4 linked regions of the Diceros bicornis minor genome follow. The protein of the gene in region 3 interacts with the protein of the main gene of each other region in a pairwise test. Links are inferred from orthologs where the notes say so. Each region holds a gene or a part of one and is shown on either strand. Other genes may lie near its edges.

The links. The genes of interacting proteins can lie anywhere in the genome.
Region 1: the proteins of CAMK2B (region 3) and CCM2L interact in binary tests that used the Homo sapiens proteins (3 or more experiments, as listed by UniProt). The two-hybrid records come from large-scale screens. The link is inferred for Diceros bicornis minor from reciprocal best matches to the Homo sapiens genes CAMK2B and CCM2L.
Region 2: the proteins of CAMK2B (region 3) and ACOT7 interact in binary tests that used the Homo sapiens proteins (3 or more experiments, as listed by UniProt). The two-hybrid records come from large-scale screens. The link is inferred for Diceros bicornis minor from reciprocal best matches to the Homo sapiens genes CAMK2B and ACOT7.
Region 4: the proteins of CAMK2B (region 3) and RAP2B interact in binary tests that used the Homo sapiens proteins (3 or more experiments, as listed by UniProt). The two-hybrid records come from large-scale screens. The link is inferred for Diceros bicornis minor from reciprocal best matches to the Homo sapiens genes CAMK2B and RAP2B.

Annotation. Positions count from the first base shown.
Region 1 is NC_080758.1:27,534,673-27,541,930, reverse strand, and holds the start of CCM2L (cerebral cavernous malformations 2 protein-like), read left to right. Parts: upstream 1-4,245; coding exon 4,246-4,257; intron 4,258-4,796; coding exon 4,797-4,880; intron 4,881-7,258.
Region 2 is NC_080752.1:26,450,981-26,458,914, reverse strand, and holds the start of ACOT7 (cytosolic acyl coenzyme A thioester hydrolase), read left to right. Parts: upstream 1-4,963; coding exon 4,964-5,010; intron 5,011-7,934. UniProt on the Homo sapiens protein: Catalyzes the hydrolysis of acyl-CoAs into free fatty acids and coenzyme A (CoASH), regulating their respective intracellular levels.
Region 3 is NC_080780.1:1,436,815-1,444,705, reverse strand, and holds the start of CAMK2B (calcium/calmodulin-dependent protein kinase type II subunit beta), read left to right. Parts: upstream 1-4,882; 5' UTR 4,883-4,911; coding exon 4,912-4,976; intron 4,977-7,891. UniProt on the Homo sapiens protein: Calcium/calmodulin-dependent protein kinase that functions autonomously after Ca(2+)/calmodulin-binding and autophosphorylation, and is involved in dendritic spine and synapse formation, neuronal plasticity and regulation of sarcoplasmic reticulum Ca(2+) transport in skeletal muscle.
Region 4 is NC_080741.1:2,231,222-2,237,085, reverse strand, and holds RAP2B (ras-related protein Rap-2b), read left to right. Parts: upstream 1-4,636; 5' UTR 4,637-4,711; coding exon 4,712-5,263; 3' UTR 5,264-5,351; downstream 5,352-5,864. UniProt on the Homo sapiens protein: Small GTP-binding protein which cycles between a GDP-bound inactive and a GTP-bound active form. Involved in EGFR and CHRM3 signaling pathways through stimulation of PLCE1.

The DNA of each region.
Region 1 (7,258 bases), on a different chromosome or scaffold from region 3:
CCCAGAGAGGGTCAGGGGCTTGCCCAATATCATACAGGAAGCCAGTGGCATAGTTAGGCTTTTCCTGGGGATGAGAAGTAGTTGGATCTGTCTTAATTTTGCCAGGAATAGAAGAGAACAGGACACTCTGGGTACCAAATATGCCAGGCTCTGCCCTTCTCTCAGTATCTCTACTCCTAGGAGACCTTGTCCCCATTCCCAGGGCAGATTTCTGCCTCCCAGTTTTGACTGACCCCCCAGGCTGCTGACTATGCTCCGCAAACCCCTCCAGGCACCACACATCCCTCATTGCGCCTCCAAGCACTGATGTACCATGTGCCTTGTGACTGTCACCCTGGTCGGACAGCACAGACCTCCACCCCTCCCCAGCAGGGGGCTCCCTACAAGGAAGGCTTTCTTGGTCCCCTCTTCTCATCTGCCTCATCCTTGTGTCTCCCTCAAGTCTGCCTTACCCCCAGCCAGCTCCCTGCTACACCTGTGTCCCACAGGTGGGATACGCCCAGAGGCGTATCACCCATGAGAGCTGGGGACAGCAGAGTGCAGGGAGGGTGAGGCCTGGGGAATGTCCAGGTCTCAGGGTGAGGGCCAAGGGGGCTGGGAGTATCCAGGGAAGGTCTTCCCTGGCAGCCGCAATGCCCTCCTAAGAGCTGAAGTCCCGCAGGTCCTTCCCTTGGAGCTCACCTCGGCTTGGAGTTCACAGAAACCTCAGGCAGTGGGGAGAAGATTTTCTGGGGCAGAGGTGCATGGGCTGCAAATTCAAATGCCTTCAGGTAACGAAAATGAGAGAAGTGGAGGTGCTAGACAATAGAGAGGGGTGGGGACTCTGGCAAACAGGAGAGTACATGCCCTGCCTATAAGCACTAAAATTCAAATTTTTGAAAAACCCTGTGCTGGCCAAACTAAACACTCATATTTGCCCCATGGGCGACCAGTTTGAAACCTGTGGTTCAAAATATTGAGAAGGTTCTAGGAAGCCCTGCAGAGTCTGGAAACCCCTCTGGGGAAGTCAGGAACGGAGGCCCCGGCTCCCTCTGAGACTTTTCTAGTCCAGTTCTAAACCCTCTCCACCTAGGCACCTGAGACCAGGCCCCACTGCTCTCTCAGCTAAAAAGGGGAGGGAGGTCTGGGTGTCCACAGGGTCCCTGGTTTGGGAACTATCATCTGATAAGGGCTACAGGCCCCCCCAGTGCCTGAGGGAGGCAGTTTAGGGGCTGGAGTCTTCTCCTGTTTGGGGGCCCCTGGTTAGGAGGAAACTGCATTGAGTGGGGGGACAGTCCAGGAACAGGATGAGGACTGAAAGCCAAGACCCAACTGCCCCCATCCTGTGCTGGCCCTGACTACACTTTGGCACTTGTCTCCCTCCCAGATAAAGCTGGGGCTTAGGGTAGGGGCTGCTCGGGGGTGCTATCAATTTCTGTACTAATGTGCTTTGTGATGTCTCAATGAAACGGACTGAGTGCAAAGCTACGTGGGCAGCAGTGGGGGTGGGGCCTGTGTTCCCCATTCCCAGCCAGAGACTTCTGAGACCCCGGGGCTGGAGGTACAAGGGACTGTAATGTGCCATTCTGGTTGGGGAAGGGCTAGGACGTTCCTGGGTTCTTCGTTGCTGCAGGTGAGGGGAGGAAGAGCAGGAAATTGTGGAAGTGAGAGAGAAGGCCCGGTCCAGGGCTGACCTTGTTCCTGGAGACAGAAAACTCCCACAGGGTAGAGGTGTGGTCCTCTTGTGCCTGGCTTCATCCACCCTTCCCTTCTCATGGCACGCAGGGGGCTGCCCCTCTCCCCAGCAACCCTGGCCATTATTCTATGCACAATCATAAGGGCACCCCCAGGCCAGGCTGAAGAGGGGGCAAGGGGGGGGGCGGGGTGGCCCTGGGGCGCCTGCAATAATCCGAGTGGAGAGTAGCCTGAGACAAAAGGAGGTGAGAAAGGCACCAGGTGGGAAAAGGATATTCCTCCATCTTCCTCTCACCCAAATCCCAAAATCCAAACCAGGCCTGTCTCCATTGGGCTAACCCACCAAACTTGGGAAGGCCTCACACACAGCCCCCAACCCCCTTGGTTTTCCAAACCAGTCATAAAATAGCTGGAAGGGACCAGAACAATTTCCAGAGCCCCCTCTTATTGTTTTCACTCCTGAGGATCCTATAGTTTGGGAGATTTTTCTCCCAAACAAGCCTGACTTCTTGAAGAATGATTAATTTTCCCACATTGAATTAACTCAAGCTGAGCTTCTGATTGCGGATAAATGTTGCCAAGGCCTCACGTTAGCTTCTAAGGCTTGAGGGTGGGGGAGTATCTGTATTCTATTGGAGTGTTTAATACACAGTTCTCGAGAGCATTCATGGGACCCCACTCCTGCCCCCATGGATCCTCAGGGCCTGGGACCCCAAGGTGGGAATCAGTGGTTTAATCATCCAACATCTGTTTTACTGAAGGGGAAGGCCCAGCAAGGTGGCCAGCCCAAGGTGACATGGCAAGTTGGTGGGAGAGTGGGACCAGAGTCCCACCAGAACACCCCAGCCCTGATGCCCCCTTCCACTTTTTCTCTGACTCCGGGAACCACTAGCCATGCCTGAGGGGCTGATTTCCCTCCCTCAGCACAAATCCGGGTGATTCTTCCCTCCCTAATCGGCCCCCACCCCTGCCCACTTCTGTTTCTTGTTCCCTGTCCCACCTCCTGGTATTGACTACATCTGTGCCATCCTCAGTCCCACCCCCACTCACCCCTCTGCGCTTCCCCCAGGAGGGGGAGGGGGCCCCAAGCTGGGGCTTCTGTACTGAGACTTTTGTACACCACAAACTTTTTGTATATTTTTAATTTTGCTGAGACATGAGATATTAAAAGTCATTTCAGTACGTGCTGTTTGTGTCCTATTGTTTTGGCTGTTCTGGGCCAGAGGAAGACGATGAGGAAGGAGGGACGGGGAGGACAGATACCTTCTACCACAATCCCTGTGGCTCCTTTAAGAGACAAAGATATTTGGTTGGGAAAGGCCAAGACGGTACACAAAGCTCCCTGTTGATTGGACAGAGCTCAATCAATGAACCAAAATCTCAGGGCCAAAGGTTTTAGGGATTATCTCCAAACTCTTCATTTTACAGATAAGGAAAAAAAAGAGATAGTGGTAGGGGTGGACCTGCCAGAGGTCACAGAATGAGTCCATGACAAAATCAGGAACCGGACTGAAGTTCCTAACTCCATTAAAAAATATATATATATATATATATATATATAATTTGTGTGTGTGTGTGTGAGGAAGATCAGTCCTGAGCTAACATCCGTACTAATCCTCCTCTTTTTGCTGAGGAAGACCGGTTCTGAGCTAACATCTATTGTCAATCCTCCTCCTTTTTTTTTCCCGCCCAAAGCCCCAGTAGATTATTGTATGTCATAGTTGCACATCCTTCTAGCTGCTGTATGTGGGACGCGGCCTCAGCATGGCCGGAGAAGCGGTGAGTCGGTGCGCGCCCGGGATCTGAACCCGGGCCACCAGCAGCGGAGCGTGCTCACTTAACTGCTAAGCCACGGGGCCGGCCCCAAAACATATACTTATTGAGTACATACTTGTGCCAGACACTGTTCTAGGCACATTGAACAAGAAAGATATAAAACAGGCATGCTCCCTGCCCTCATGGAACTTACTTTCCAGAGGGTAGTGCCTCTAAAATGTGTCCCTGCCTCCAGGGTTTCCACCCTCTAATCCAGGGGTTCTCAAACTTCAAAGTGCATCTGAATCACTTGGGGGACAAGGGGCTTGTTTTAAACGCAGATTTCCATCTCCATAACCAGAAGGCAGACAGAGCATGCCTGGGAATCTGCATTTTGAAGGTTCTCCAGGGGATTCTAGTGCAAAGGCTCTGAAGATCTCACTTTGAGGACCACTGCTTTAATGCAGCCTCCCACAAATCTGATCATGAGCTTTCGTTGCTTTAGAACCTCCCATGGCTCCCAAGGACCCTCAGGATAAAGACTAAACCCTTTGCCTGATGCTGATTTTTCACAACCCGGGCCCAAAATACCCCTTGAGCCTCATCTCCTACATAACCCTGCTCGGTCCTCATAGCCTCTCCAAACTACCCATCTTCCTGTGTGTGTGAGCCTCCCCTGATTGCCACCCACCAGCCTTTCTCACCATTCTTTCATGCAGGTAGAGCCCTATTTCCTTAGGGGCCCCCAGCCCAAATGCTCAGGGAATATAGCCCCCCACCTGACCCCAGGAAGCTGGTCAAAATTGGCCTAAGACAATGGCTCTGAAAGTGGGGTCCCCAGACCAGCAGCACCGGGGAACTTAGAAATGCTGCTTCTCAGGCCCCATCCCAGACCTACTGAATCAGCCACTGTGAGGGTGGGGAGCAGCATGTTTTTATAAACCTTCCACGTGATTCTGATGCACACCAAAGCTTGGAAACCATTGGTCCAAGATCATTCCCCTGACCGAGGATTGGTGGAGGCAGGGGCATGTGACCCAAATTTGTAAGGCAGAGACTGCTATGTGTCCTCAGTATCTATGATCCCTTTTTTCTGCAAAGAGATTTTTAGCTGGGCACATGGCCACCTAGAATAGAAGACTACATTTCCCAGCCTCCTTTGTAATTAGGTGTTGCCATGGAAACAAGTTCTGGTCAATGAGATATGAACAGTAGAACTTTGTGCTACTTCCAGATCATCCCTTTAAAGGGAGGAGTTGTGCTCACCCCTGGGTCAGTTTACCCTTCCTACTGACTGCACTGCGGCTGTGTGGAGAGCCATCTTGAAGTTGAGAGCAGAACCTTAGTATGGTGGAGTGACAAGACAGGAAGCCCCTGGGTCCGGGACATACGGAAATGTCATACCTGCCCTCGACTGCTTATGTAATGGAAGAGAGAAACTTCTATCATGTGTAAGCCACTGTTATTTGGGTCTTTGTTACAGCCGAAATATATCCTGGCTAATACATCTGGTTCCTAGATTCCTAAGGGAAGTCTTTTGAAGACTCTCTGGGAAAGATTTTCCTTCACAATGAAAAGACACACAAGAAGGGGAAACCCTTGGCCTCTTCAAGGGTTGATGGCATCAAAAGCAGGATGGTGATGGATGGCATCATGTCTGTATTGCTCCTAAAGCCACTGCAGCCTTCTCACTAGCTGTGTTCGTTTGCTAGGGCTGCCATAACAAAACACCATGGACTGGCTGACTTAGAAATTTATTTTCTAACATTTCTGGAGGCTGGAAATCCAAGATCAAGGTGTCAGCAGGATAGGTTTCTTCTGAGGCCTCTCTCCTTGGCATGCAGATGGCCGTCTTCTCGCTGTGTCCTCACATGGTCTTTCCTCTGTGCGTGCGCACCCCTGGTGTCCCTCTGTGTGTTCAAATTCCTGCTTCTTATAAGGACACCAGTCAGAGGAGATGACAGCCCACTCTACAGCCTCATTTTAACTTAATCATCTCTTTGAAAGTCTTATCTCCAAAAACAGTCTCATTCTGAGGTACTGGGAGTTAGGACCTCAACATATAAATTTTGGGAGACACAATTCAGCCTATTGCAGCAGCAAAGTAGAAAATGTAAGTAACTTGATTCCATTTTTGAGCTGCTCAATTAGCCAGCCCTGAAATCACTTACCATTGGACTTCTTGTCTTGAGAGAGAGTAAATTTTCCTTATTGTCTAAGACACCTTTGATCAGATAGTCTATTGTTTGCAGCCAAAAGCGTCACAATTCTGGCACTGTGTGTTTGCTCAAGCTGTTCCCTCTGACTAGGGTGACCTTCCTTTCACATGCCCTTCAAGGCTTCGCGTGACTGCCACAGGCTTGGTAAATGGCTCCTGATTCTGCCTTCTCCAACAAGTCGCTTGTCTTATATCCGAGTTCTCTGCTTCTGTGTCTCTCTCTCCAAGCAGACCATAGTCAGCATATGCGCTGTACACCTGCTACCTCATTCCCCCCTCCTGTCCCATGGCAGGCATTGATAATCAATCCGTTTTTCATGCTGGGGGTAGATCTGGTTTTTATAATCCTCTACACAGCACTCAGGCAGCCCCTGCCAGTCCACTGGAGGTGGTTCAAAAGAGACGAATGTTATTTGCCACACTGTTAAGTCTTTGAGAGGGACTTTATTTTACTCATCTCTTTTTTAATTCACGAGCTAATTTTAATAATAGGTGTTACCATTGTATGCTTCTATTCCCATTAATCCCTGCAGCAGCCTTCTGAGGCAAGCACCGTCATCATCCCGCTTTTGACATGAGACTCGGGGGTTTCGAGAGATGAACTACCTTGTTCAAGGTCATACACAATTGAACCTAGGTCCACCTGTCTCCACCCACTTCCACTGACTTTTAATAAGCGCTTGATCTGTTCATGGCCCTGGGGTGGGCACTGCAGGGAATACAGAGGTAGTTTGCTATTTCTAGTGGCATTTGGAACACTTCTTGTCCTATTTGAGATTCTCAGCGGTTCAGTGAGGTTTGGAGTTAGTCCAGGAGTAACAGAAGTCCCCATTTTACAGATAGGGAGACTGAGGCTCAGAGAGAGGAAGAGGCTTGCAAGAGCAAGAGACCACCTTTCATTCCCTGCTGCCACTCTGAGGGTGGGAATTTGGGACTTGCTCAAGGGGTTAAGTGGGAGTTTTGATATCCAGAGCACAGCCAGGGACTGGGTTGCACATCCTGGCCTCTTCCTGTTGGCCCAGCAGGCTGATGGAGAACTCACTTCCTGCTGCTGGGGGGTGACTGGCAGGATGTAGGGAGCAGGGGGGAGTGGCTGTGTAAGCTAGCACTAAACAGCCTGGGCCATTCCCCTCCCCAAGGAGGGGAGGAGGGAGACATGGAAGAGAGAAGGCTGGTGACTGGGAGTCCCCTGCGGCCCTCACCCCTAGAGGCAGTGGGGGGCTCAGACCCTCCCTCCAACAGGCACTGACCTGGCACACCAGCTTTCAGAAAAAACTTTGAAAACAATCTTATACGCTGGCCCCTGCGCTTCACAGCTTCCAGCTGCTTTCTCATCCATGCCTGACGTCTTGCACGCCACACCTCTGACTGCAGGGCGGGGCTTTGGGATTCTTGTTCCCATTGGAAAGATGAGGAAGCTGAGGCCCAGAGAGGTTACAATGAGCAACCTGCCCTGGATCATACAGCAAGTCAGTTTCAGAGCTTGGGTCTCCAGAACCCAGGTATCATGGCAAGGGCAGGAGGGGTCAATCAGAACCTTTCCAACTGTCCTCGGTGGGTCCTGCAGAGCACATAGGCCCTAGAAGTAAGGAACGAGGCCTCAGATCCAGA
Region 2 (7,934 bases), on a different chromosome or scaffold from region 3:
GTTGTGATGTATAACAGATACAAAAATGCATAATACAAATATATACAGTGTAAAAAATAATTATAAACCTGTACACCATCACCCAGGTCAAAAGAGGAGGCATTAATATTCCCCATTCTCCCCACCCTATGTGACAGTCCCTGATGACAATCCTATCACTCTCCTTGAGAGACACTCACTATCCTGACTTTTGTGACAATCATTTCCTTGTTTTTCTTTATAGCTTTAACACCTGTTTATGTTTTCCTAACAAATAGAGTTATTTATTTATTTATTCTTAGCAAATTTCAATTATATAATACAGTGTTATCAACTATAGTCACCATGTTATACATTAGATCCTCAGATCTTATCCATCTTATAGCTGAAAGTTTGTACCCTTTTACCAACCTCTCCCTGTTTCCCCCAACCTCCAGCCCTGGCAACCACTTTTCTACTCTCTGTTTTTATGAGTTCAACACTTTTTTTTTTCAGGATTCTACATATAACCAATACCATCATCATAGTACTTGTCTTTGTCTGTCTGGCTTATTTCACTTAGCAAAATGCCCTCCAGTTTCATCCATGTTGTTGCAAATGGCAGGATTTCCTTCTTTTTTAAGGCTGGATAATACTCCATTGTATATATATACGCACACCACATTTTCTTAATCCATTCATCCATTGATGGACACAGGTTATTTCCATACCTTGGCTATTGTGAATAATGCTGCAATGAACATGGGAGTGGAGGTATCTCTTTGAGATAATGGTTTCGTTTTCTTTGGCTATATACCCAGAAGTGGGATTGCTGGATTATATGGTAGTTCTATTTATAATTTCTTGAGGAACCTCCATATTGTTTTCCTTAGTGGCTGTACCCATTTACATTCCTACTAACAATGTACAAGTGTTCCCTTTTCTCCACATCCTCTCCAACACTTATCTCTTATCTTTTTGATAATAGCACAAATAGAATGCTAGATCTTTGTAAGCATGGCTTGATCCTGTATATTTTCTTTGGGATTTTTCTTTTCCCCCTCAACATTGTGATTCTTCCTTGAGTGTGTAACTGAAGTTCATCGGTTTTCATGGCTATTTGGGATCCCATTGATGAGTATACTACAGTTTACTAAGCCAGCCTACTGTTGATGAGCATCTGAGTTATTTCCAGTTTGGAGTTATCACAAACAGTGTTGCTATGAATCCCCTTTGAAGCGTCTCTGGGTGCACTCATGCTCAACATATAGGGTATACACCTAGTAGTGAATTGCTGGGTCAAAGGGTATGGCTATTTTCAACTTTAGTAATTATTTTCAGTTATTTTCCAAAGAGCTTGTACCAATTCATATTCCCACTATTAGTGTATGAGAGTTCCTGTTGTTTTTTATCCTATCCTCCATAGTGACATGAAAAAATAATAAAATAGATGAGTGGTTAGATGGTAATAGTACAAAAATATGGAAATGAAAAATAAAGGCCTTACCCCCTAGTCCTTTCCCCCAAGGGAAAGAGTTTTTTAAGTATCTTTCCATAAAAATTTGAAGAAATGATTTAAGCAATATATTTAAGTTTTTATAACAATTTGTGGATAATATTTTTAGTCCAAAGAAAGAGTGTGCAAATTAAATCTAATGAATTAAATATCTGCTGCTGTTAAATATGTTGCTGTTTGTAAACCTCGATGCAATCATCCATAAAATATTTGTTGAGCACCTATTATGTGCTAGGACTCTTCTAGGAGCCTGGGATACAGCAATGAACAAAACGGCAAAAAGTTCCACCCTCATGGAACATATGTTCTAGTTGGGGGAGACACAATAAAGGGATCAGTCAAATATGTATTAAGCGGTATTAAGTGCTAAGGAGAAAAATAAACCAGGGGGGATGAGAGGGAGTGCTGAGGAATTGCGATTTTAGGTAGGATGGCCAGGGAAGGCCTATTTAGAAGGTGGTTATTTAGATATTCAGCTAAAGACCTGAGGAAGTGACCGGGTGAGCTTTGGGGGTGCTGAGGAAAGAGTGGTCTGGGAATATTCAAGGACCATCAGAGAGGTCAGATTGGCTGCAGCCAAGTGAGCAAGAGGAGAGCAGTGGATGAGGCTAGGGGTATGGAGGTAGGTGTGGGCAGGTTCTTGAACACCACAGGGAGAAGCGATCACATTCTAGACTTATTGTGAACATAGAGCTGGTAGGATTTGCCAGTGGGTTGGATGAGGGGTATGAGAGACATAGAGGAATCAAGGATGACCTAGGTTGTTAGCTTCAGCAATTGGAAGGAAGGGATTGGAACGTGCTCAGATGGGAAGACTGAGAGAGGAGCAAGTTCTGAGGGAGTGGAGATGCCTCGTCACACAACGGGAGTGACATGTCGCCTAGGCAAGAGGACAGATGAGTCTGGAATTTAGGGAGAGGTCTGGGCCGGAGATACGCGGTGGTCGTTGAAAGGACAATTTAAAGTCACAAGACAGGATGAGACCTCAAGAGTCCAAGCACTGCTCTGGGCTCTCCCAAGTTCTGAGAGGAAGGAGGTGAAGCGGAACCAGCCGAGCAGGCTGAGCAGGGTGGCCAGAAAAGTAGGCATGTGCAGGGTCTTCGAAGGCAAGGAATAAGCGTTTCAAGAAAAGAGGGATCACATCTGCTCAGTGCTCTTGAGAAGTCAAGTAAGATGACTTCTGACAACGGATTATCGGATTTAGCAGTTTAGAAGGAATTAGTGACCTTGATAAATTGAGCAGTAGAGACAACAACCAGAATGGAATGGGTTCAAAAGAGAATGGGAGGGGGGAAGAGGAGAGAGGGTGTATGCATAAACAGCTCTTTTGAGAAGTTTTGCTGAAAAAGGGATAGAAATGGCCCAGTAGCTTGAGAAAGTAGAAAAAAACCTAAAATGGGAAGGTGAGAGACTGCATAAGGTGAGAGCTCAGTGGAAATCCATCAGCACTATAGCAAGAATAACTCATGATGGGGCCCTCCATTGCTATCCTTGAGAACAGGGCACGGTCATAAACAACTGGCAATCATATACAAATGGTAAATCCGGGAGCACCATTTTCTCTCTGCAGAATCCTGAACACAGTAATATCCGGGCTGAGCTGTTATTTTCTCTGGCTCCCTCTGCCACCTCAGGAGCTACCACATGGAGAGTGTTGACAGATGCTGTCTTGGGCCAAAGGGTAGCCAAACCCTTTTCCAAAGGTACAGGTGTTGCTCCAGATCACTTTTTTGCTGCCTTCTGCGAGGGACCAGGCTATTTAATCCTGAACCAATCAGCCTATTCCTCAGTCTAGGAATTTACTCCAGCATGTGGTTGGAGCCAGGCTTTCTGTGTCCCGGATCTATCTCCCAATCAGATTTTGAGCTTTTTGAAGAAGGAAATGTCTCCAACTCGTACAGTGATGTGCTCACCCATACAAATAGGGCTGGGCCTCAGAAATCCTTATTCCATCGCAGTGACTGTCTGGGAAGGGCTGCTGAGAGACAGAATGTTTAAGTATGGAAGGTAAGAACAAAGAGGAAGAAAGGCCCTAACATCACTGTGCTAGGCTCCTTAGGTTCATTACCTCATTTAATCCCCCCAAAAGTCAGGAGGGTGAGTATTATTACCCCTAGTATTACCCCCATTTAACAGACAAGGAAACTGCCTTGCCTTAGGCTCCAAAGCTGGCTATTGCTCCTGGGTCCCATCATAACAAATCCACCCATTTCAGGACCCATATCCGGAAGAGGTGGTGGTTAAATAAGCTTGGTGACCCTTGATGTTTGCATTGATTTAATTCACGCTAGAAAAAAAAATTTTTAGTGTAATAATCTTGAAACCGTAGAGTGATCTGGGCTGCCCTCTCTGTTCCTGGCACTTACAGACATGTGGTGGGCTGCCTCCATGGTCCAGGAACGCAGGAGTGACCAGGATGAGGCACAGTTCCTTCACAGCTATTCAGTTTAGTATAAATGGGTTTTCAAATTTCACTGGAGAGCTTGAGTTCTGTTGGTTTCATTTGATTTTTAAAAATCTGATTACAAAAGCAATTTATGTTCATTATAAAAAATCTGGAAAAAGTCAGATCTCCATTATGACTGGAAAATTCATATGGAGTAAAAAGCTCTCTATAATTCCGGCACATAGAGGTGATCTATGGTGTTTCTTGGGCAGATTTTGTGACCCCGACCTGGCCTGGACTCTGGACTCCAGTGCGGGGCATATCGTATGCAATGGAACAGATCAGCATCCTTAGGGCTCCTCACTGCATCACGTGCACCCCCAGGCAAACGCTCAGCGATCCCAGGAGATCTTGGGAATAACCCCGACGCAGTTTGCAGCGGGCAGTGTAGACAGACCTCCGTTCCTCTCTTCTTTCCAGCTCAACTCGGCAGCTGTGTGCTGCTGCCGCAGAGGCACTTGCTGCGGCCTGACCGCTCGTGGTTCCCCGTTTTGTGCACCCACGTGCCTCCCAGCGAACACGAAACGGCAGCTCCGCCATGAATGAATGCTCGTTTACGGGAAACCGCCTGCAGTTTCCCCTCAGGGCTGATATTAGAAGCGACCCCGACGCGGACTCCTGCAGGCCTTTCCCACTGCCCGCCGGCCGCAGCGCCTCGTGGGCGCGCCGTGAGACCCGCCAACTGCCGGGCGCGGGCGCAGGAACACCGCACACGAACATTCGCCACTTGGGGCGAAGCTGACACACGCGGCCACCCAGCCCGGCGCCGCCCAACCGCCGCCGAACCTTCTGGAAGCGGTGCCCAGCCCCGGCCCCGCCGCGCCGCCAGAGGCAGCGGCGGGGAGAGCCGGCCGCGGCCCAGGGGGCGGGGCGGGGGCGGGCGCGAGGGCGGGGCCTGCGCAGGAGGCCGCGTTCGATTCGCCGCCGGCGCCATGGCCCCGCCTCCGCCCTCCCCCTCCATGGCGCCGCCCAGGCTCATTCATTCCGCGCCCGGCCTGCCAGACACTTGCGCTCTCCTTCAGCCGCCCGCCGCCGCCGCCAGCATGTCTGACCCCGCTGCCGAGACCCCGTCCGCCATCCAGATCTGCCGGTAAGAGGGTCGCGCGGCACGGCCAAGGATGCTGGGTCACCGCCCAGGCCTGCCCCACGCCCCTCCGCGCCCTCCCCCTCCCCCTCCCCGCGCCCGGCCCTGGCCACGGCCGGATGCTCCTCTGGTGTCGCAGAGCCGCGGCCTCTCCGCGCGCCTCCTCGCCGGCCTCCGGCGGATTCTGGGGGCGGCGCAGCGGTCGCGCAGGCCGTTTGCGCAAGGAATCGGCGCCGCGCCCTTCCTCGGGCGGGGGTCGGAGCGCAGCCGTCCCCGCCCCCTGCCCTGCTCAGCTCCGCCCTGCCCGGCGCCCGAGCACGCCGGAATCCCAGCCCAGGTTCCGCTGAGCCCCCTAATTAGAGGTCGTTATTCGGCGGTGGTGCAAAGTCCACCGGATCCCTCGAGATGTGGGGCGCAGGTAACCAGCTCGCTGGGCGGCGGCCGGAGCCCGGCAAGCCCATTCATAGGTGCCCGAGTGGGCGGGGGCTGCAGATGTCCAGTCCCTTCGCTGCACTGCTTCGGTTTCTGTGGGGAGCTGGGTGTTAACAGGAGGAACAGAAAATACCTTTCCCCTCTAACAGTTTACTGCTAAGAAGAGGGATTGGTCCATTGAGCCTGGAAGCATCTTAAACAATGGGGGCAAAGGGTTGTTCTTCACAGTGAAGAACCCCTGCCTTCCTCCACAGGCACTGGGGTAGATAGAGGCCCCCAGAGGAAGCGGGAGATGTGAGCTGGCTCATTTCCCACAGGAGAGGGAAGGGCAGCCTCAAGGTTACTCTCCATTACCTTGGGCAGAACCGGAAGCAGGCATGCTGGTATTTGAACATGAGCTAAGTAAAGAAAAGAAGTCTGGGAAGGCCGCACAGGCGCTGGGGCCTGCAACAGGGCCTGTCCTGCGTGATGCACCAAGAAGAGTGAGAGCTGCTTCTTGTTTGGGGACAAGTTCCACAAATTTGGTGGTCGGGCATCACATTGACCTTGGGTCCAAGCCAGGTTAGTTTCCTGTGGATGTTGACATTTCTGGACAAAGGCTGGGCATTCAGGAAGTGCTGGATCAAGGGGGTTCCCTGACCTCACCCCCGTTTCTGACCTAGTCAAAGTCCTTTCCTGACCTCAAGGTCAGTTTTGACTTTTCTTGGGAGAAGAAATCTTTGGGGGAGCCTTACTCCATTTGCTTTGTTATTGGCTGTGTGGCTGTCTGGGCCCCACCCACTTCAAGATCCTGGGGCAAAAATAATAGAAGGAATTGATATTTGGAGACACATGGGCCTTGAGTCAGGTCTTTGGTTCAGGCTCTGCCTCCTCTTGGCTGGGTGACCTTGGGGTTCATCATTTGCAAAGGGCTTGTACATCTCTCGTCTCATTTGGTTTGCCCAACTTCCTTGGAAGGGAGGACTACAGGGATTTCCACCACTCGTGCTGGTGGAGGAGGAAATTGAGGTTCTGGGAGACCCATTGCCTCTGTAAGGTCATCCAGCTGAAAGCACAGGGGGCATCCCCCGCCAGGTCTTCTGTCTCCAGGCCCGTGTTCTTTCCACTGCACTCTCTCCTAAAAAGAACATACTGATTTCAGTCTACTGGAGGAAGGCTGGGCTTTTTCTTTTTTTTTTTTTTTTGTGAGGAAGATCAGCCCTGAGCTAACATCCATGCTAATCCTCCTCTTTTTTTGCTGAGGAAGACCGGCTCTGAGCTAACATCTATTGCCAATCCTCCTCCTTTCCCTCCCCAAAGCCCCAGCAGATAGCTGCACGTCACAGTTGCACATCCTTCCAGTTGCTGTATGTGGGATGCGGCCTCAGCATGGCCGGAAAAGCGGTGCGTCGGTGCGCGCCCAGGATCCAAACCCGGGCCGCCAGTAGTGGAGGGCGCGCACTCAACTGCTAAGCCACGGGGTCGGCCCAGGCTGGGCTTTTATTTGTTTCATAAGGATGATGAATAGCCAATTTATACGTATTATCTTTTATAAAACCAGCCTCTAACATTTAGTAGATTTTTGGATAGCTTTAGACATGTCCATGTGTGTACAAGCCTGTGTGTGTGCATTTTGTTACTCACCCTGCTTCCCAGGCTGCCTCTTGCATATTCACAATTGCGCCATGTCTCTGAGTGGCCACTTTGGTCGTGGGGTGCTTGGGCAGGATACCTAGCTGAGGTTAGCCTCAGGTGCCCAGCACAACTGCCAAGGTGGGGGGGATGCGGTGATGAGGGCCGTGGTCACAAGGGCTTGGCCCAGAGAAACCCCAGGACACTGGAGAGTGGACACACCAGGGTGGGGAGCCCTTTAAGGACATCTGAGCCCACACCCTGTGTTGAAAGAGGAGCTTCCTGGCCTAGGACAGCCAAGCCCGTGAATTTAACAAATTTCACTGGACGACTCCAAGGACCAAAGCGCCATGAGGGAGGGACACCAACCTGGAAAATTAGGTCCCTGCTTTAGAGGGTTCACAGTCCAGCAGGGAGTGGGTGCCCAAACCCGCGTCATCCTAGACAATAAAGAGTGGTCACGTGCTCTTGGCTGGGAAGGAGATATTGAAGGGATAGGGGCTCTAAAGGTTGTGGAGGGCAGTGGTTAGAGCCGACTCTGCAGTCCAAGGCCTGGGTGTGAATTTGGCTGCTGCCCGTGTTAGCTGGGTAACCTTTCTGTGCCCCCATTTTCTTATGGGTTGTTCTGAGTGTTAAAGAAAAGAAAGCACATCTAGTGCCTGGCAGAATGGCTGGCACTGTAAGTAAAGGAAGCCCTTTTTGTCTGAAAAGTGGAACACAGGCTCAAGAGGCCGATGGCCTGGGTTCAAATCCCAGCTCTGCCTCTTGCAGGTGTGTGGCTTCCGGCATGGTCCTTCACCTCGCTGGGCCTCAGTTCTCTGATCTGTGAGTTGGGGATAATAATAGTGCCTGTTTCAGGGTTGCTGAGAGGATGAAAACCTTTGACA
Region 3 (7,891 bases):
TAGCAAATCACTTTGTTTTGAATCTATGTAGAGCAATTATCACTACTCAATGTTTTCTTGTTTCTTTCTTGTTGGTCTTGGGCGTAAGCCCTGCAAAGGCAGCAACCTTGTCCACCACACTCCCTGGTGTGACCCAGTGCCTAGGCAGAACCAGGTACACAGTTGGCACATAGTAACCATGTAAACAAGGCCAATAGTCACTTTTGAGCAGAGTGCAGGGGTTAAAGCCACCAGCCATAAGTCAGGTGGGTCTGGATGCCAATATTGATTTTGCCACAAACCAGCTATGTGACCTGAGCTCAGTTACAGAGTCTTTCTGTGCTTCAGTTTCCTCATTTGTAAAAGGAGGCTAATGATAGCCCTTATCTTGCAAGGTTGCTATAAGATTTATATGAAGTGGTAGATGTTAGATCTTTAGGAGACTTTCCAGCATGTAGTGAGTGCACTGTAAAGCGTAACTACGGCCTTCATCATCATCATCACCATCACCACCATCATCCTCACCACCACCACCATCATCACGACCATCATCATCATCATGATCACAATCTTCATGATCACCATCATCGCCACTACCACCATCACCATCATCATGACATCACCATCATCATCACCATCACAATCTTCATCCCATCATTGTCACCAACACTATCATCAACATCATGTCATCATCACCATTATCATCATCACCACCATCATCACCACCATCATCGCCACAACCACCATCACCATCATCATGACATCACCATCATCATCACCATCACAATCTTCATCACCATCATTGTCACCAACACTATCATCAACATCATGTCATCACCACCATTATCATCACCACCATCATCATCACAATCTTCATTATCACCATCATCGCCACTACCACCATCACCATCATCACGACATCACCATCACAATCTTCATCACCATCATTGTCACCAACACTATCATCAACATCATGTCATCATCACCATTATTATCATCACCACCATCATCATCACCACCATCATCATCATCATCACAATCTTCATTATCACCATCATCGCCACTACCACTATCACCATTATCATGACATCACCATCACCATCACAATCTTCATCACCATCATTGTCACCAACACTATCATCAACATCATGTCATCATCACCATTATCATCATCACCACCATCATCAGCATCACTACCATCATCATCACCACTACCATCACCATCATTGTCACCAACACCATCATCAACATCACATCATCATCATCATCATCCCCATCATCGCCACTACCACCATTACCATCATCATGACATCATCATCATCACCACCACCATCACCATCACAATCTTCATCATTACCATCATTGTCACCAACATTATCATCAACATCACATCATCATCACCATTATCTTTATCACCACCATCATCATCACCACCACTATCACCATCATTGTCACCAACACCACCATCAACACCATCATTATCATCACCATCACCACCATCATCACCATCCTCATCATCATCACTACCACCATCCTTCCCCTGCATGCCTGCCACAGCATCCTTCATGGGATGCCTCGTCAAGGGCCAGGTGATTGGAGATTGATGGCTTAGAGTCTTCCTGCTCCAGGGAACTGCAGCCTGCTCTTCCAGGCAGATGGCTGGGCCTGGGACAAGTGGTGGCAGTGACATCCCTTCCATGACAGCAGCCCCTGGAGGCAAGGATAAAGGAGGCCATGGCTTTCCTTGGGAGAATGAGCCCCATGTGCAGCACTTTTGGCTCTGCAGATGTGATGCTTGTTGCCATGGTGACCGTCCTAACAATAACCTCCCAGAAGTGATATTCCCCACACCCGCCCCAGCTGCCACCTGGGAGGGAGAGCCCTCTTTGCTGACGAAAGCCAGCTAGAAAGGATAAGGTGGGAGGTGGAGATGACGTGGGGGTGTGGGTGGAAGAGGGCCCTTCCTGAAGGAGAGGTGGGAGGCCAAACCCAGATGAGAGGGCTTCTGGGGTCAAGGACTCCAGAAAGAGTCATGGCTGGCCGCCTGTCTCCCTTCCAGCTTTTCCACTGTGCTGGGGAGGAACCCTCTGGTCTGGAGGTGGGTGTCGGTTGTTCTGTAAGTGGGGTGAGGGGTTGGGCTGAGTAGGTAGTGACAGTCTGGGGCCTTTTGGTAGCTCAACCATTCCCCACTGTGGTGGCCTGATCACCCCGCCCACCCTGCCCTCCTCAGGGTCACTCCACGTCATACCTTCAATGTTTCAGCCCAGGGGAGGAGCTGCCCAGGGGGACCCCAGGTGCTAACAGGAATAGAACAGGGGCCTCAAATTGCACCCCTTTAGTGACCCTGACTTCTTGTGTAACCTGGGTCTTGTGCAGCCTCCCCACCCGGGGAAAGGAACCTCAAAAGAGGCTACCCAGAGTGCTGCTGTGTCCTCGCCCAGGAGCTGCAGGAAGCCATGCGTGTGTGTGAGTGTGTATGTGTGAGTATATGTATATGAGTGTGTCTGTGTGTAAGTATGTGTGTATGTGAATGTGTATTGTGAGTGTGTGTCTGTGTGAGTGTGTCAGTGTGTGTGAAAAGACAAGAGAGGATTTATGGGCCAGTGGGGTTTGAGTCCAGCCGCTTCTTGGCTGTGTGACATTGGACAAGTTAAGTTACTTCACCTCTCTGTTTCTCTGCTGTCCCATCTCGTAAAATGGGGACAATAGTAGTATATGCCTCCCAGGATTGTTTGAGAATTAAATGAAATAATACATGTAGAATGCATGTAATCAAATCAGTGTCAACCATCATCATAATTTTAATGCCACTTTACCATTGCGTGGACTCATGCTGGTAAGAGTGTGTGTGACCTTGGCAGCCCATAGCCTGGAGAGAGCCTGATTTACCAAGGGGTGCAATTTTGTTTTGTTTGTTTTGCTAATTGTATTCTGTTGTGTAGGACTGCCTCCTTCTCTTTCCGGAGCTCAGAATGATACAGATGGCCCAGCACGTGCGGGGAGAGGCTCCTATGGGGCTGAACACAATCCCAAGAGCAAGCCTCTGCCCGTCTGTGAGGGACCTCGAGTCCTCCCCTGGCCGCCCCAGGAGAGGTGGGTGTCTGCCTGGCAGGTGCTGGGTGCTCTGGTCCCAGCACTGAGGCAGGAAGGTGGTCTGAGATCAAGGCCATGTCCCCCACAGGGCCCTCTCTGCCCCCAGCTGGGGACCTGCCTGTACCCTTGTGTCCTCGACCTCTAGCCATCTCCTGGGTGCAAGTCGGGTCTGCAAAACTACCCAGGACCGAGACTTGTCGCCATGTGGTCTGCTAATCTGCCCAACAGCGGTGCACCAAAGGCATCCTGGTGGGAGAGACCCTGGTTGCCCCAACCCCAGAATCCCTTCAATTTGATGTTTTATCCAGGAATATTTATTATGGCTTCTGAAGCCAGCCCTAGGCTGCCTGCCAGGGTGAGAGAGATGAGCAGGACAGGCCCAGACCTTGCGCCTGGGGAGCCTGCGGTGCAGGAAGTGGCTCATGTCAGAGCAGCTGCACGACCCAGATCCAGAGCTGGCTGCTGGAAACTTCTTTCCTCAGGGCTTGTCCAGCACAGACCCTGGCCCTGTCCCCTCAGAAGAAATGGAGGTGCTGGAGCCCAGTGGGTCCTCTTTGCTGGGTCTGAAGTCCTGGTTCTAGATGGCCCTCCGGGAGGCTCTTCTGTGGGAAATGGGGTCAGCCTAGCCTCTCCTGCCCCTCCCTCCATGCTCTCTCCTCCTCCCCTCCAGGGCTACTTTCAAGATGGACCCTCTTTTTTTTTCAGGCCAGAGCAGAGGGCAGGCAGGTGGACCAGGCCTGGAAGAGGGGAGAATGTGTTCCCCTACCTGGGCAGGGGGGCAGTGAGCTGTCAGGATCCTGAGTTGCTGATGGAGCAGCTCCTGTTCCCCTAACTTAAGGACCCTGGTCCTTGTCAACTCCAAATGCTCATTCCTGGGACCTCCACTCCAGATACCCCAGCGGCCAGTGCTAGGAAAAGCGATGGACGGGCTGGGACCATGGGGAAGGGGCTGCCTCCACCCTTTCATCTCCCACCCGCGGTGTACGCGCCTAGTCTGGGAGGCTCCTGGGCAGCTCTGCCAGGGGGTCTGGACTGTGTGATATGTGGAGTGGTGGAGACAGGGCAGGAGGTGTCTGGTAGCATCTCCTCCTGGGGGTGTGAGGAATGAGTTCTGTGGACAGGGGCACACATGCTGCCCCCCCCCGCCCCCATGTGTGCCTGAGTTCCCTCTTGAGGTCTGGGGCGAGGTGGGCCTTCAGGGGAGAGAGGGGGCTGGGTTCATTGTGTGCAGTCCCCTGCGTGTGTGTACAGGGGGGGCGCCAGCAGAGAATGGAGAAGTCAGTTCAGGCAGGCCGGGGGTGCCCGTGTACGTGGCCCAGGGCGCATGGGTATGGATGCGGGTGCGGAAGCGGGTTGCATGTGGAGGCGCGTGTGCAGGGTTCAGGTGCGGGAGCACGGCACAGGTGCAGGCGCATGTGCAGGGAGCGGGTTCGGGCGCAGATGCAGGATGCGGGTGCAAGTCCGTGGAGCGGGTATGGGTGCAGGTGCAGGGTGCGGGTGCGAGTGCAAGGGCTGGTGCGGGTGCGTGTGCACGGAGCGGGTGCGGATGCGGGTGCAGGGCGCGTGCAGAAGGCCGCAGGCGGGGCGGGCGCGGCGGCGGTGGCAGCGGCGCCCGCGCTCCCCGCGCGTAGGTGTGTGGCGCGCTCCTGGCGGGGACGGAGCGCGCAGATCTCGCGTGCGCTCGCCGCCCGGCGCAGCCCAGCCCGGCCCCCGCCCGGCGCCGCGAGCCGAGGTGTCGCCCGCGCCCGCGCCCGTGTCGCCGCCGTGCCCGCGAGCGGGAGCCGGAGTCGCCGCCGCCCGAGCGCAGTAGAGCGCACGCCGAGCCCGTCCGTCGCCGCCATGGCCACCACGGTGACCTGCACCCGCTTCACCGACGAGTACCAGCTCTACGAGGATATTGGCAAGTAAGAGCCGAGGCGCGTGCGGGCCGGGCGGAGATCCCGGAGGGCGCCGCGCTCGGAGGGCCGGGACCCTGGAGACCACGACCCTCCGCGCCGCCGGCTCCAGTGCAGCCCCGCGCGCCCCCGGCTCCTCTCGGCTTGGGGCCCGGAGCGCACCGCCCCAACCCCCGGCCCCGGCGCGCGCGGCCCTGCCCGGCTCTGCCCAGCGCGGCCGCCCGGCCGGAGGCCCGGACTCTGGGCGCGGGGCTCGGCGTGGCGGGGGCGGCAGCAGGTGTCCCCAGAGCGCCCGGCAGACGTGACGCATTTGGCGGCGGGAGGTCAGAGAGGAGGAGCGCGCGGGGGCGGCCGTGAGGCCGCGGAGGTGGCAGTGCCCCCGAGGGTCGTCAGCGTGCGGGCCGCGCTGTCCCCACCCCCACCAAGCGGCCGGGCGCGGGGGTGGCGGGACCTGCTTGGCGCCTGCTCCTCCGCGTGGCTCCATCCGCGAGGGGGGTGCCGGCTGCGCTCCCAGCCGCGTGGGAACAGCCTCTGCCGTGGGTCTCCCGGGGAATCTGGGTTCTGGAGGATTTCCCCCCCGGATCCTTCTGGAAAGAGGAGTCTGGAGAGCTGGGGGCCCAGGTCAGGGAGCTTGGATCAGGTCACTGGGCTGGAGATGAGGGGGTGAGGTGGGGAGCCTGATGGGCTTCTGATTTCAGGGCCATCGAGGTAGATGGGGGCTGGATTTTGGAGAGTTATTGGGGGGGGGGCTATTGGGAAGGGCTTTGAAGGCTTGTTTCAGGTGAGGCCTCACCCGAGGAACAGGTGGCTCCTGGGCTCTGCTCACCAACATGAGCAGTGTGAGGTTCTAGATCAGGCTTTGTCCCGGGCTCCGAGACTGTGAGGCTGGTCTCGGGGTCCTCGGCTCTGTGAGTCAGAGTGGCTGCACCTGGCGTCCCTTGGGCCAGCTCCAGCACTCCTGAATCCCCGGCTCCAGCCTGGCACAGCCAGAGCCCCATCCTCCTCCATCCAGCATGTGTGGTGGGGTGCTGGCGAGGTTTCCTCTTACACATCCAACTGCAGATCCTTTTTTTCCCAGTTCTAAAAGAATGTCAGTGGTGATACCTTGTGTTGGGAGGGATGCTGATCATTGATGACTGTGGGCACCGAGCTAGGAGGAGTGCGAGGGTGTGCTGATTCCCCAGTTCTCCCTGCACATGCCCAAGGATGCCGGTCAGGCTTGGGGACTCAGCAGCCGGTGGAGTGGTGGAGTGGAGGAAGCTGGTGGCGCAGGCTGAAGGGCAAGGCCAGGGCCTGTGGACCGAGAAACTCCCTTCCTTCAGGTGGGAGCCGGCTGGGTCCCCAGCCCCAAGGTGGGGGGATCTGGAAAGCAGAGCAGAGGGAAGGAGGGGTCCAGCACATCCCCTGTGTGTGCACCTCAGCCCCCAGGACACAGGCCTTGAAGAAGCTTCCTGGGGCTGGCTGGGACCAGGCCTGTGAGGATGGGCCATGGGCTAGAGGTCCTCAGATGGGACAGGTGGTTCTCCCAGGCAGAGGGCGGCAGTGGGGGAAGGTCACCAGTTTCTAGGAGACCTTCTTGGTGTTCTTGTGCTGGTGCCCAGGAGCATACAGGCCCTCAGACCCTTCGAAGGTGCTGTCGGCCCCTCAAAGAAACACCCCTCCCTGCACCCTGTTCCTTCAACCTGAGGCTCACTCCGCTGACTCCTCCTTCACTCTTGTGGGAACCTTCCTGGGTCCAGCGGCTGTGTAGGGTGGCCGGCCCAACCCCAGGCCTTCATTGCCACCAACAACTGGTTATCCCGGCTACTGCCACATATGCCCACACTGGGGAATGGAGGTCTTCCGGGCTGCCCTCAGGGAGGCTGAGAGGGGATGGCCGACCCCGCAGTGGAGGCCAGGCTCCTCCTCCATCAGCAAGAACAAGAGCAGCCCAAGAAGGGAGCCGTGGGGGCCGCCCCATGCTGTGGTGCCAGGGCCTCAGGCGTGAGTGGGTGAGGAAGCCTAGCCGTCGAGGGGGCACCAGGGGCCTGGGAGATGAGGGGAATGCACCTCAGTGTGCTGGGCTGGCCCTCCGGGGCCAGGAAGCCTTCAACTTGGCCCAGCACCCCTTGAGGAGCCCCCCAGGTGCCAGGCCTGGTGAGGGCCTTGAAGGGGCCTGTCACAGCCCTGCTGGGGCGTCCTGGGTGGGGCAGAGGATGAGTGAGTTCAGGGGTGAGCTGCCTGGGTCGGACACTCAGGCCACGGCCTTGGTCCTGGGGCCCTGGTGTTGACAGTGCCTGCCCCAGGCACAGTTGGTGTTGCTTCCCGGCCCAGGTGGGCGCGTCCAAGTTTATTTAAAGCAGCAGCCCCTGGCACCAGTCAGGCGACGCTGAGCTCCCTGCCCGGGATGGGCCGGGTCACAGGCCCACAGCTGCCCACGTGATGTGGGCAGCTCGCCTCCCTGCCTGTCCCACAGCTGCCCCTGTTCTGGATTGTCCCCTGGGGGCCTGGGCAGCGGGGTCTGAGGGCCAAAAGGGGCTGTTTTCTGGGGCTGTGCTCTCCCTCGCCCAGCTGGATGGGCCTGTTGGGCTCCAACCGGGAGGCCCCAGTCCTGGGTCAGGAGCCACCTGGAGCCCAGGGGCCCTGGACAGGCGCAGGGCAGACCCGGCCCAGCACAGGCTGGCCAGCAGTGCGGTTTTAATTTTTTATATTTGATAGATTTTAAAAATTGAGAAAACTTCCAGGAGTAATAAACATTTGTCTCTCTTCTGCCCAGAATTGAAAACTGTTTCTCTTTTGTCATTTTGGCCTTAAGTTGTTTTTTAAAATTATAAGAAATAAAGCATTACAAATAAATGTTAAGTAACCATTCTCCTCCAACTACTGTCATGCATTTGGAATTTATCTTTCCAGACTCTTTCTGGTTCATTTATACACAGATATAA
Region 4 (5,864 bases), on a different chromosome or scaffold from region 3:
GCATTACTGGAGATTATGTTAAAAAGACCACTGGCAAAAAAAATATCCTCAGCCTGCTGGTGGATACATAGTTACCTTATAACATGTTCAGTACTTAGATACTGTTGAGAACTCTGCAAGGCACAGTGTTATATTTATACTTCCCTTTAAAATGATGATACGTGGTCACTATTGACTTATCCTTGGTGTTTTCAAAACTAGAAGCATTTCTTCACCTATAGGCGGCAGCAGCTAAAACTATGACCATGACGAAATAAACCTCAGCTTACTTTGGATAAATGAAGAGGACAGGTGGGCACTTATTTTCTTGAGGACTTTAAAAGATTCATGTTCTAACAAACCTGCTAATTCTCTGAAGGCCCCATCCGAGGGTCGAAAAAGCTGAGCCATCCCACCATGCAAGCAAAGGCCAGGGCCAGGACCCTCCACTGTGGGACATTCGGTACCAGAGGTTAAGCAATCCTTACTGGCAGCTTTTCCTTTAGGTTATTTTCTAGAAATGCCTTTTCTGCAAATGTTAAGTCTTCCTCAGAGAAAAGGTCTCTCCATTGGACGCTTTGGTATCTTTCCCCAAGATAGTACTGACATAATGTTTCCACCCAAATAAGGGTTGACTTTGATCACTCCAGCATCTTATGACTCACAGAGACTGAAATATTAGTATACATTTTTCTAAGGATCCAGGAAATGTTTATCTCTCACCAAGGATTAATATAATCTTTTACCACACACAGAGTTTGGAAAAGGAGTAAAATGCCATTCATATATATTCATCAATAAATATTGAGGGCCTCCTACGTAGGCACTGCACGAGGTGTTCTGAGGGACAGAGGTGGCTCCAAAGATAAGCCAGATACGGACCCTGCCCTCAAGGAATTCACACGGTGCTGGGAGATAAGACGCAGACATGTAAATAATTATACTACAGGATAATGATTCACGCCATAAGTGAGGTCAGTAAAGACTCCAACCACATTTCAGAGAAGGAAGTGACCAACCTTAAAAATTCGTGCGTGAGCAATTCCATTACTCCATTTTGAATCCCAAAGCTTCAGTGCAAATCTTTCTGTGGGAGACAAAAATGGAAGAATCCCCAGCAGAAAGTACAATCAGCCCTTCGTATCTGTGGCTTCCACGGCCCCTGTCTTAAACACAGCACTCCGTCCTCGGCTGGTTGAAATCTGCAGACGCGGAACCCGGTAACGGAGGGCTGATTCAGGGACTTGACCATCCGAGGGAGGTCTAGGAACCAACCCTACCTCGGACACCGAGGGACAGCTGTATTCAAACTGCGGCATCCTCCTGGTACTGGAGAGGCCACCAAGATTCAATAATGCTCGTCCACGTGGCTACCGGAGTCCTGAGGCTGGTCTCGTCTAGATGGGGCTCTCAGGCCGCCTGGGTCTGGCTAGTAGTTGTCACAAATTTATGAGGCGCTGCAGCTTTAAAAGCATGTCCCCATCCATTATCTGTTAATTATTGTCCCTGAGGGCCGTCTGGCACCATGAAAAGGGCAGCCAGGACACCAGGGTTCTAATTCCGCTCAGCTCTCTCTGATGTGAAATGAGGGGTTTGGTCACCAGATTCTCTCCAAGGTCCCTCGTGTAGCTGGGTGAGTAGGGCAAATTTTATTATCACCATTTTATAGATAGTGAAACTAAGGTCAGGAGAGCTGAGGGGACTGGCCCAAGGTCTCAGATAATAACTGATATCCAACACTTGAGATTAGACACCAGGCCTATGAGGACAAACACTTTCTACCACACCTTACTCAAGAGCCACACCTACCATTTGTGGGCAAGAGCACAAACAGAGGCTCACGTGGCATTAACCTAAGTATTTACGTTATAAATCAAGACAAACCTAGAACATGATCTATCCTCCCACCGTGACAAACACCTCTTTGCAAGGAGGTGGATGGCCAGGTGTGAATTATGAAGCTTGGCCTCCTCCAACCACAGGCTGGAAGGTGGCAGGGAAGGCATGCTGACTCCACTGACCCCTCCTCCTTCACTTGGAGGGGCCCACTGTGGCAAGGGGCGGGGCACACCTTCTCCCACAGGTCCAAGCACTGTCCACACCCAACCAAAACTCATTCCTGGATGCAGGGGTGAGTTCTGAGGCCCAAGCAGAGCCTGGACGAGGGTTTGGTACTATTTGGGCAGAGATTCCAGAATTGTGACCACCTGGCCAGTCTAGAAGAGGGTTCAGGCTCCTCGACCCTGTGGGAAGGGGCACTGAGAGAGGGTGGTCCCTCTTGCTTGGGTTTAAGAGCCGGTCCGATCACACTGCCTCAAGATCCAACCTAAGAAAGAGTAAAATCCGGGAACTTTCTTTCTTATGAGAAGATAGAATGGCCAGTTGGTTACAAGACCAGGTTCTGCTGCCCAACACCTGGGCTGGGATCCTTGCTCGGCCATCACCAGCAGTGAAATCTCAGAGAAGTGACTGAATGGCTTAGGGCCTCAGTTTCCTCATCTTTAAAGTAGGTATAATAATTATCATTATTATGAGGATTGCATGAGACAGCATGTGTAAGACGCTTGGCAGACATAAACGCTGGGTAACCGCTGTGAGCTTTTCTCCAGCTGGAGAATTATATAGGCATAATTACATCCAGGCACTCCGATAATCAAGGTTCAACCCTCTCTCCACCAAGCAGGCCGGCCGGGCGCAGGAGTGGGCACGACCCACCCACCCAAGGCGCCGGCTGCTGCCCGCGTCCCGCCGGGTCCCTGGCCGAGGCGTCCACGCTGCAGACACGCACACTGCGGGCTACAGCCCGGGTTCGGAGAAGGTTAACTCGCAAACGTGGCCTCAGACACTGAAACCAAGTGTTGGCACCCGCGGGTCCACCTCTCCGCTGCGGACGGCCGCACCAGGGGCGGTGGCGGCGCAAGAGGCAGGCAGCACCCAGAGCCAGAGTGCACGCGGCTCGGCCCCGCCACCCCCTTCCCTGGGGCTCCGGCTGCAGCGCTGAGCCTGCGACAGGTCCCGACATCTCCCCGCCGCCAGGAGGGAGGGAGACTCGGGCAAGTCGAGGCGTCTCCCTGCACCCCCGCGGGTGCCGCCCGAGAGCGAAGGCGTTTCCTGAGGCCCTCGGCTGGGATGATGCCTACGTGGTCCATTTCCACGTCCTAGCCCTCTCCCCTCCCCGCAAAAAAACTTGGCAACTTTGCTGTTTCTTGAAGACTAGACCTGCAGCCAGCCCCTTCTGCTCCCTTTAGGGCCGGTGGTGCCTGGGCACCCAGAAGGCAGGCCCTCTGGCAAACCTCAACAAAGGACTATATTTAGCTCCGAGCTCTCCGCCCAAATTCCTCCTATTTTTTCACTCTTAGCTTCAAAACGACTGGGTTGGGGCAGTGGAGGAGGGGCGGGCGCACGGAGAGCAGCTGCACCGCCCTCCGCTCGGCCCATCACCCAATCCCAGCGGAGGCGACTTTTCAGGCGCGCCGCCGCCCAAACGGACGAGAGCCGGCGGCGGCCAATGGGCGAGCCCCGGGGCGGGGAGTGCGCGGGGCCGGGGGGCCGGGGGACCGGGGGGCCGGGGGGCCGAGCCCGCGGGTGGGCGTGCGCGGCCGCCGCCGCCTCCTTCCACCCCAGCCCGGCCCGGCGCCCGAGCAGCCCTGGCCGCCGCCCCTCGGCGTTGGGGGGGTGGCCGGGCTCGGGCTGCAGCCCCACCGGGGGAGGCGGTGGGACCCGCCAGGTGGCCGCCCGCAGAGGCCCTAGTGCCGAGGGGCGGCCCCTTCCCCGTCGGGACAGCTCTCGGGTCTTTGTGCGGGGTGACGAGGCCGCGTAGGTGCCCGTGGCGGTCGGTGTGAAGGGCGGCGCCGTCCGCCGGGAGATGCTCGCCGCCCCCGCGCTCCGCGCCCCCAACGCCCGCCGGCTCTCCGGGCCGTGACGCACCCCGCCGGGGGCCCGGGGTGGAGTCCTCGGGCTCCTGATACCGGAGGCGGAGGCACAGCCCGCGGCCCCGGGCGGGACCCTCAGGCACGCCCCGCAGAGCGCGGAGAGGGCGCCCACGTGCTCCCACCGGAGCCTGCCTAGCGCTCCGCCGCCTCCCAGCCCCGCGCTGCTCTGGTCGGGTTCTAGACCCGCGCCCTCCGGCACCCGCCCGCGCGCTCCGCCGCCCCGCCCCGGCCCCGCCCCGGCCGGCCCCCAGTCCCGCCCCCGGAAAGCCAGGGGCGGCGGGCGGCGGGCGGCGGCGCACTGGGCATGCTCGCGGGCCGGGCGGGCGGGGCGAGGCGGGGCGGGGAGGGCCGGCCGCGCGCGGCGGGCAGGAAGCCCTGGGCCGCGGAGGCTGCGGGAGAGAGCGCGATGGGCCGCGGCGGCGGGCGCACGCTCCGCGGGGACTCATGCCACGCGCGTCCCGGCCCGGCGCGCCGCTAGCAGCCGCCTCCGCAGCCAGCCGCCGCCGCCTGCCGGCCCTCCCGGGCTGCCGCGGCCGGGAGCTGCCGCCGTCGCCTCGCGCGGGCTGCCGGCATTGTCCTCCCGGTCAGCCGCGGGCTGCTGCGGGGCCCCGGACCCGCGCCCCAGGGACGCGCCGCCGCCGTGCCCGGCCCGGCCCCCGCGCGGCGATCTCGGCGCCCCGCGCGCCCCGGCCGCCCTCGCCGAGCTGCTTCCTGCGGAGCGGAGGCAGGGGAGAAGTGCGGCCGCCTAGCCCGGCCCTTCCCGGCGCGCAGCCCCGACGGGGCCGCGGCACGACGGAGCCATGAGAGAGTACAAAGTGGTGGTGCTGGGCTCGGGCGGCGTGGGCAAGTCCGCGCTCACCGTGCAGTTCGTGACGGGCTCCTTCATCGAGAAGTACGACCCCACCATCGAGGACTTCTACCGCAAGGAGATCGAGGTGGACTCGTCGCCGTCGGTGCTGGAGATCCTGGACACGGCGGGCACGGAGCAGTTCGCGTCCATGCGGGACCTGTACATCAAGAACGGCCAGGGCTTCATCCTCGTCTACAGCCTCGTCAACCAGCAGAGCTTCCAGGACATCAAGCCCATGCGGGACCAGATCATCCGCGTGAAGCGGTACGAGCGCGTGCCCATGATCCTGGTGGGCAACAAGGTGGACCTGGAGGGCGAGCGCGAGGTCTCGTTCGGCGAGGGCAAGGCCCTGGCCGAGGAGTGGAGCTGCCCCTTCATGGAGACGTCGGCCAAAAACAAAGCCTCGGTGGATGAGCTGTTCGCCGAGATCGTGCGGCAGATGAACTACGCGGCGCAGCCCAACGGCGACGAGGGCTGCTGCTCGGCCTGCGTGATCCTCTGAGGCCGCGCGCCCCGCGCACAAAGCCGAGCGCACGGCGCGCTCGGCGGGATGCCCTTCTCGCTCGGAGGTTGGAGACGACTCGGCAGCGGCCGGGGTGGCCTCCGCCCCGCGTCCGAGGGGCTGTCCCGCCCTGACCCTCCGCGACCCGGTGGGAACGTGGCGCTGTGCAGCATGTACGTTTCTCATTGATTTTGGTTGACGCATATTTCCCCGTTGAAGCAGTCGTTGGGGCGCTGTATTGGCAGCTTGACACCGGCAAGCGAAAGTTTCAGCCAGGAAAAAATGCGGTGGGGAAGGAAGAGGACGGGAGAAGGTGGAGGGGACCTTGTGTGTGTGTGCGTGTGCGTGTCAACAACCGTTTTCTAGTTCCAAGTTTTCAGTACACGGAAGAAGTCCGGGAGAACCAAATGAAGGAGCAGGAGGAGAGGAGGAAACTTGTTTTTTCATTGTTTTCCAGGAGTAGCTGGAAATTAAGATCGGGTTCCTTTTCTGCCAGTTTGGAAGGGCAACCCCGTGACTGATTGCGATTCCGAGGATGTCTATGCAAAGTTGGGTTCTTGTTACAGTGTATCCAATCTGAAGTATTGCACATCTGAACTGG